2 linked regions of the Cricetulus griseus genome follow. The protein of the gene in region 1 interacts with the protein of each later gene in a pairwise test. Links are inferred from orthologs where the notes say so. Each region holds a gene or a part of one and is shown on either strand. Other genes may lie near its edges.

Region 1 (3,710 bases):
TCGGAATTTCTTTTTTAAATTGTCTTGTTTGTATTATTGTTTTGCCTGCATACTTGTCTGTGCACTGTTTGCCTGCCTGGTGCCAGTGCCAGCAGAGGGCGAAAGATGCCCTGGAACTGGAGTTACTGAGGCTGAGAGCCACCGCGTGGGCGCTGGACACTGAAACCAGGTCCTTAGGAAGAGAAGCCATGCTCTTAACTGCTGAGCATCTCTCCAGCCCTCCCCAGAATCTCTGTGTATAATTTTCTCGCAAAGTCCCAGCCTTCTTTCTGAATATTCTTAGGTCCCAGAGCCGAAATAGATGCAGAGCTGGGAAGCCCTAAATTCGGACCCAAGACACAGGAATGTCTAGTCCAGCACGAATATGGGGACATAGCCTTGCAATCCCAATACTGAGGAGGTGTGGGCAGGAGTGAATTTGAGGCCAACTCGACCTACATAATGAGTTCAAAGCCAACCTGAAACTTTTATTTTATTTTATTTTTTGTAGGGGTGAGTGGAGTGAGCTCTCACTTGTCACCGTGTGTGCTCCAAGCATAGAGCCCAGGCCATTAGGCCTGGCGGCAAGCGCCTTTACCCGCTCAGCTAGCTCGCAGTTCCTAAGAGCTTCGAACTCGAAATCAGTTAACTCTTATGCCTGCCTCCCGAAACGTGACCAGCGGGACGTCCTATTGCGCAGGCCCCGGCCGCCCCCTGAAGACCCTCCCAGAAAGGGCTCCTAGAGCATGCGCACACCTCAGCGTCGCGGACGCGCCTCCGGAAGCACTGGCAGTTTCGGGGGCGGGACCGGGAAGCGTTTCCGGGGGGGCGGGAGGCTCCGGCGGAAGCTGTCCCCGTGGTGGCGGCGGAGAATAAGGCCTTAGTGCGGGCGACTGGATGCTCCGGTAGGCTGAAGCTGCGAGCGCGGAGCCGTCGGCAGGTACGGCGGGGTGGGGAGGCTGGCGGCCGCGCGAGAGGTCACGGTCGGGGTCACGAGCGTCCGGGACGCGGGTGCTCATCCAGAGCCCTCCCCGGTGGCCGCGACGCGGGACGGCGCCAGCGACTCCGCAGCCCCCGGCGCCCCGGCTCGGAGTCCCGAGGCCTCCAGCGCCACCGGGAGACTTCCTGTCCAAGGTCACCCCGCGGCAGGTGCACGGCGGGCCGGGGCGCCTGGAGGATCCGCCCGCGCCGCGACCTCAGGGTCGAGCCACCCACGCGGGAGCCAAAGCCGGGAGGGGGGACCTCGCCGCTCCGAGTTTCGCCTCTTTGTCACCCCGTCGTCACTTGTTTTTGTCCCCAGACTGGGCTCTGGTCAGCTGGAGTTTCTCTCCACCTTGTGTCCCTGGAGCTCACAGTCTGGGGACCTTGTCTTTAATCTCTGTTTCTTGACTCTGCTCTGGTTCGGGGCCCGAATGTCACACTGGCTTCTTGACCATTTGTGTGTTTTTCCCCCTCTGCCAATGTTGTGTTCTTGTTTCTCTCCCTCCCAACTGGGTTTGTTTAGGCAGGGCGGGCCCTGCCTGGACCTCTGAGCCATGGAAGGTGACTCATGACCCCGTGAAACTCGCCCGCCTGGGCGACATTCTCAGTGGCCCGACCGCAGTCTGGCCTCGGTTCTGACCGGTGTCACCCAACCTCACAAAGTGTTGGGAGCTCCTGGCCCTCACACTGAAGGCCCATCTCACGGTTTAGGCAGCTAGTGAATCCTGAACTTCTCTTCCATGTGGTCTACACAGCTCTCCAGTTATTTGCTCTTTCCAGGAGCCCCAGGGCTGTCAGGCACTGCCTCTGTTTAACCAGGTCAGCATGTCTACAGGCTCAGGAAGGACCAGGTTGACATCTGCCCTTGAGATCCTTAGCACTGTAGCAGAATTTTTAGGGGCAGCTTAGGGAAGAATTTAGGAATTCGTTCCCTGCATGTTTCCAAAGTACCGTGAGAAAGAAGTGAGACACGGGACAAATACTATTTAAAACTTTTGGAATCGAGTGTCAGTAATAGACAGGACAGAAAACAATTTATGAGGTGCTAGAGTCAGATACTGTGTTCAATGTGCACAGAGTTTAGGAGACAGTAAGAACATTCTAGAAATGGATTGGGCACAACAGTGTGAATGATGTAATGTCAACATAGCATTACACTAAGTAGTTACAGTGGTAAGTTTTGTGCTGTGTTTATACTGTATACACACAGCAGAAGGAACTCTGGAGACTTCCGAAGCTGGTATAAGCACGTCCACAGTGCACTTTAGAAACTTGGTTTGGAACATTTAGTTGAATCCCTTATATTGATGCAAGCTCTTAATAGCAGCAGGTTCAGTTGAAGGCTTACAAAAGGAGTCAGGGGACCCTGATGGCTTTAAATCGGATGACAGCAGTTTCCCACCTGTCTTCCCCTCCTTGCCCCTTTGGAATCAATGCAGAAATTTACCCTAGTGGCAACTTGAGAAATGTATTGCCTTTGACATGCAGAGAACTTGTGAAGCTGGAAAAATTCCCCTTTATTAGAGTAGAAAATGCTCTTGTTATTTCTTCACAGACTATGCCTTTGGTTTTTTGTCTGTTTTCTGTTTTATAAATCTTGCCTTCTTTACATTCATTTTTCAAGGTTTTATTTGGGGGGGAGGGGGGTTGTGTTGTTTAGATTTTTTCTTTGTTTTGTTTTGTTGCCTTTTATCTCTGAGTTCCCAGGCCAGCCTGGTCTACAGGCATTCCAGAACAGCCAGGGCTACACAGAGAAACCTTATCTCAAAACAAACTTGGGAGATATATACTGTCTGAATCCTGGAGTAGCCTGAAACTCCCAGTGTGATGACCTTGAACTGATGATCCTCCTACTCCCACCACCCAAGAATTAGATTCCTGTGTGGGCTGCTTATCTGACCAATTAGGTCACCAGAACCCTCAGAATGGGTTTCAAGATCTTACAGATTTAGACATGCTGCCTGAGTTTTCTTTCCCAGCAGAACTCCCTTCCAGAGTGGCACATGTCACTAATAGTAAACCGAGGAAAGTAAGCCTCCTTAGACTCAGCTTCTTTTTAAAGGCAGTAGAGCCTGACCTGAGCCTGGAAAATCAGAAAAATTCCTCAGTGGAAAAGATGGAGAGAAAGCAGTAACAAGGGGGAGGGAACCCAGAGAGAAACCCATTTATGTGGCTCCTTCGCCTTTCTACACCATTGTGAAAGGTTTGAAGGTCAAGGAGGGCCCTGGGACAGATTATTCCTTGGGATAATAAATGTTCTAGAAGAATGATTGTGACGAAATGAGGGCCCCTATGTGTTTTAGAGGGAAGGAGATTGAGATGGTTCTCTTTGGCTCTACAGTTGGTAGTTGCTGGTGGTAATGAATGAGTGGTCAGTCAGTTATCACTAAGACTGTTAGATGATCAATAAGCATCTGTCCCGATGGCCATTCCTGGGGGTTGACCAGGCAGGAAGGCAAGAATCTATAGAAACGGGGCTGGAGAGATGGCTCAGTGGTTAAGATCACTGGCTGCTCTTTCAGAGGACCTGGGTTCAATTCCCAGCACCCACATGGCAGCTCACAACTGTCTGTTACTTCAGTTTCAGGGGATCTGACACCTTCACACCAATACACATAAAATAAAGTTAAATAAATTATTTTAAAAAAAAAGAATCTATAGAAGCATCATTTTAGGCTGGTGGTGGCACACACCTTTAATCCCAGCTCTTGGGAGGCAGAGGCAGGCAGATCTCTGTGAGTTCGAAGCCA
Region 2 (3,749 bases), on another chromosome or scaffold:
TATTATTATTATTATTATTATTATTAGAGACGGTTTTTTTTATGTAGGTCTGGCTGTCCTGGCTGGCCTCAAAGTCAGAGACCAGTCTACCTAGTGCTGAGATTAAAGGAGTTCACCAACACATCTGGCCCTACATTACATTCTTTTTGTTTCTTTGTGTTTCGAGACAGGTTTCTCTGTGTGGCTTTGGAGCCTATCCTGGCACTCACTCTGGAGACCAGGCTGGCTTCGAACTCACCGAGTTCCTCCTGCCTCTGCCTCCCGAGTGCTGGGATAATAGACGTGAGCAGGGTTTTGCAATGATCCTGTACGCACTGGCCCTGAGCCATATACAACTATTAAACTTGACTAGTTCTACACAAATACCCCCTACCCCAACACACTCCCAGGCTGCAGAGGTGATTGCCTCATATTCAGCACTATACAAAAACTTGACAAGAACCGGGCCGTAGTGATGCACTCGGGAGGTAGAGGCAGGAGGATCTCTGTGAGTTCGAGGCCAGCCTGGTCTACAGAGCGAGTTCCAGGACAGCCTCCAAAGTTACAGAGAAACCCTGTCTCGAAAAACAAAACAAAATCTGACAAGGAAGTTCGGATGCCACAGGGGTTGAGCTCAGTTCAACCTAACAGCCTAGCTACAAGTACACAGGTTCCTTTTCTTCCCGGTGATGGAAGCACCCGGCGGGCGTTGAGAGCGCGAGCCAGACAGATTTCACGGAGGGCCTGACCTGCACAAACCGGGCGAGCCTGCCAGGCGGGGAAGAGAAAAAAAAAGCCCGGCAACTTGTGATGTCATCTGGATCTGCGCTCGGATAGGCCCTACCCACTTACGCATTGGAGTCTGTAGTAGCCCAGATTGGAGCCTAAGCTGACCTCTCGCGGACATCCAGAGATACGCACTCGAGAGGAAGATAAAATCACCACTCTTAAGCCCTCCTCCCCTTTCCTAGAAGGTCCGCCTTCATCGTGCACCTCGGCTATTGATTTCTTTCCCCTCCCTAGACTCGGCCATCATCTCGCTGGGCCTGGCATTTCCCAGAAGCCCCAGCGCCGGGAAGGAGTTTGCAGCTGCTCGGTCATCGTGCGGCCCGACGCGAGCCCGCGCTGGTGTGCAGGCCCGTCTCTGTGCCTGGTCTCTGGTGTGAGGGTGTAGGCGAGGCCCCTGCCTCGGTCCCCGGACTAGGCCGCGACCCCGGGCGCCATGAAGCAGGAGGGCTCGGCGCGGCGCCGAGGCGCCGACAAGGCAAAGCCGCCGCCGGGAGGGGAACAAGAACCGCCGCCGCCGCCGGCCCCCCAGGATGTGGAGATGAAAGAGGAGGCAGCAGCGGGGAGCGGCTCAACGGGGGAGGCAGACGGCAAGGCAGCCGCCACCGAGCACTCCCAGCGAGAGCTGGACACTGTCACCTTGGAAGGTACGGGAGCCCGCGTCTGGGACATGCCGCGATCACGGGTGACAGCGGCCACGGTGATGCGACTTCTTCCCGGGACCTCCGCGCAGCCTCCACCTACCTCGGTTCCGTGTGTTCGGTCAATGGGGCGGGGGTCGGAAGTGCCCGCCCTGCCGCTCTCGACCCCAGCCGGCGACTGGACCTGTTCTCCAGGCTGCGGATTGCTCTCCTCACACTCCCTCCCTCTTCTCGTCTGGGGTTGCATCTTGGTCCCACCGAGCCTTTTCTTGAGTCCTTCCCAGTGATCTACTCCTTGTACACCCCATCCAACCGATCCTAGCGCCTCCGAAATATTATTGATCCTTAGAAATCAGCGTTTGTATTTGTGTCTAAAGAGGCCGGGGTAACATCACACTGGCCCCTTAGATAAAAGAGTTTCTAAAGGGTTCTGTAGCTCCATCTTCAGCGAACTCCCTAGGAGAACCATTTCTACCCTGCGTTGCTTCCTTACTTCTGTAATTGAAGTAACTAAACCGTCCCGTCGCTCTGTTCCTCCCTCTTGAGGTCCTTTCTCCCTCCGTTCCTAAAGAGTTCAAGCACATACACTTTCACTCCTGAATTTGTCTTTTGGTTGTTGTTTGTTTATAGTGCTTACCTGTGGCCTCGATTCCTATAAGCCACCCCCATCCTCAACTTTTTCCTTCCACATGCCAGTTCTCAGGCTCCTATTATCCTCGTGTCCCTCTTAAGTTGCTGTTTTATTTTTCCCATTTGGTCCATCCTGTCCATGTATGAAGTGGGTGGGGTGAGACTTCTCATTGTGATCCTGTGCGGGTTTCCAAGTACGGGAATTTTTCCCCCTCTCTCTTTGCTTAACTACTTCAAAACATGGAGATGAGCAAGTTATGCCCTGCGAGGTACTTTTGAGGATGTGTGTATGTGTATGGACTGCACCAACTCCTACTCTAAAAGTTGGCAACAGGATCTGTATACAGAAAGGTCTTTTTACCTGAAATAAAAGTAGCCAGGGGCGGAGATGTCACTCAGCATTGCGTGTGTGTGTGTGTGTGTGTGTGTGTGTGTGTGTGTGTGTGTGTGTGTTCGTGAACATTTTATTATGGTTTGTATTCACTGTAGAAATTTTGAGATGTGAGAATTCTAAAGTAATAGGGAGAAAAATATAACCAAAGTTAACATGTTTTCCTGTGTGTTTTCAAGCTGTTCTATAACTGAAATCACTGAAGTACCCAGTTAGGATCAAAGTATTAGTATGTAAAGATTTTTTTTTGTCTTTTTTTTTTTCTTTTAGCATGTCCATGAACACAAAGTTCAATTTATTCAGGAAGCATTTGTTGATTACTCAGTATAGTGATTGAGATTATAGACTCCAGAATCAGTTTCCCTGTTTGTGTAAGTGGGATTAATAGCATTAACTGTTTGTTGAGTTATTGTGAACATTAGAATGCATGTTACTATTTGTAATAATTAGTATCACAAGCACGCTTTGTTGAGTGGGAAATGTGACTAAGAAACTTCCAGTTGATTGCATTCTCTTAATTGCTACATATTTAAAGTTTTTCATGTTCCTTGCTCTTTTAAGTAGTTTTGCAATCATTGTCTCTAATCCTAAGTTTTTTAATCTACTTTTGTAGCTATTTAAATGTAGCTTGGAATTTATATGCCTAAGTCAAAAAGGGTAAACATGTCTAAATTTAAATTTGTGTTTGTATGAGTGTTTTATCTGTGTGTTTGTAACAGTATCACATGTGTGCGTTGTCCACAAAGGCTAGAAGAGGACATCTGACCCCCTGGAACTATAGTTATGGATGGATGTGAGCTGCCATGTGGATGCTGGGAATAGAACCCAGGTCCTTTGGAAGAGCAGCCAGTGTGCTCTTAACACTGAACCATCTCTCCAGCCCCATTTCTAATGCTTTTTATGTTGTCCTGAAAATCTGATTTACATTATAAATGTTTTTTCTCATTACTGTAAATGTTTCTATTTTCAGATATTTAGATATTACCAAAATATAGTCTTTATGTCTTTTATCGGTTTGGCATCCTTTGCTTATGTCCAATGTCCACTTTTGTTTTGAAGTTAGGGCCAGTAGTCTCTGTCTCTCTCTCTTTCTCTCTCCCTCTCTCAGATTTATTTATTTTTATATGCATTGATGCTTTGCCTGCATATATGTCTGTGTAAAGGTGTCCGATCCCCTGGAACTGGAGTTACAGACAGTTGTGAGCTGCCATGTGGGTGCTGGGAAGTGAACCTGGGTCCTCTGGAAGAGCCATCTCTCCAGCCTCCAGTACTTTCTCTTAACCAGTTATATACATTCTTTGTGAAATGAAACGTGAATCTGT

The links. The genes of interacting proteins can lie anywhere in the genome.
Region 2: the proteins of Zbtb43 (region 1) and 26S proteasome non-ATPase regulatory subunit 3 interact in binary tests that used the Homo sapiens proteins (3 or more experiments, as listed by UniProt). The two-hybrid records come from large-scale screens. The link is inferred for Cricetulus griseus from reciprocal best matches to the Homo sapiens genes ZBTB43 and PSMD3.

Annotation. Positions count from the first base shown.
Region 1 is NC_048599.1:145,183,868-145,187,577, reverse strand, and holds the start of Zbtb43 (zinc finger and BTB domain-containing protein 43), read left to right. Parts: upstream 1-779; 5' UTR 780-919; intron 920-3,710. UniProt on the Homo sapiens protein: May be involved in transcriptional regulation.
Region 2 is NC_048600.1:111,764,309-111,768,057, forward strand, and holds the start of 26S proteasome non-ATPase regulatory subunit 3, read left to right. Parts: upstream 1-1,030; 5' UTR 1,031-1,201; coding exon 1,202-1,412; intron 1,413-3,749.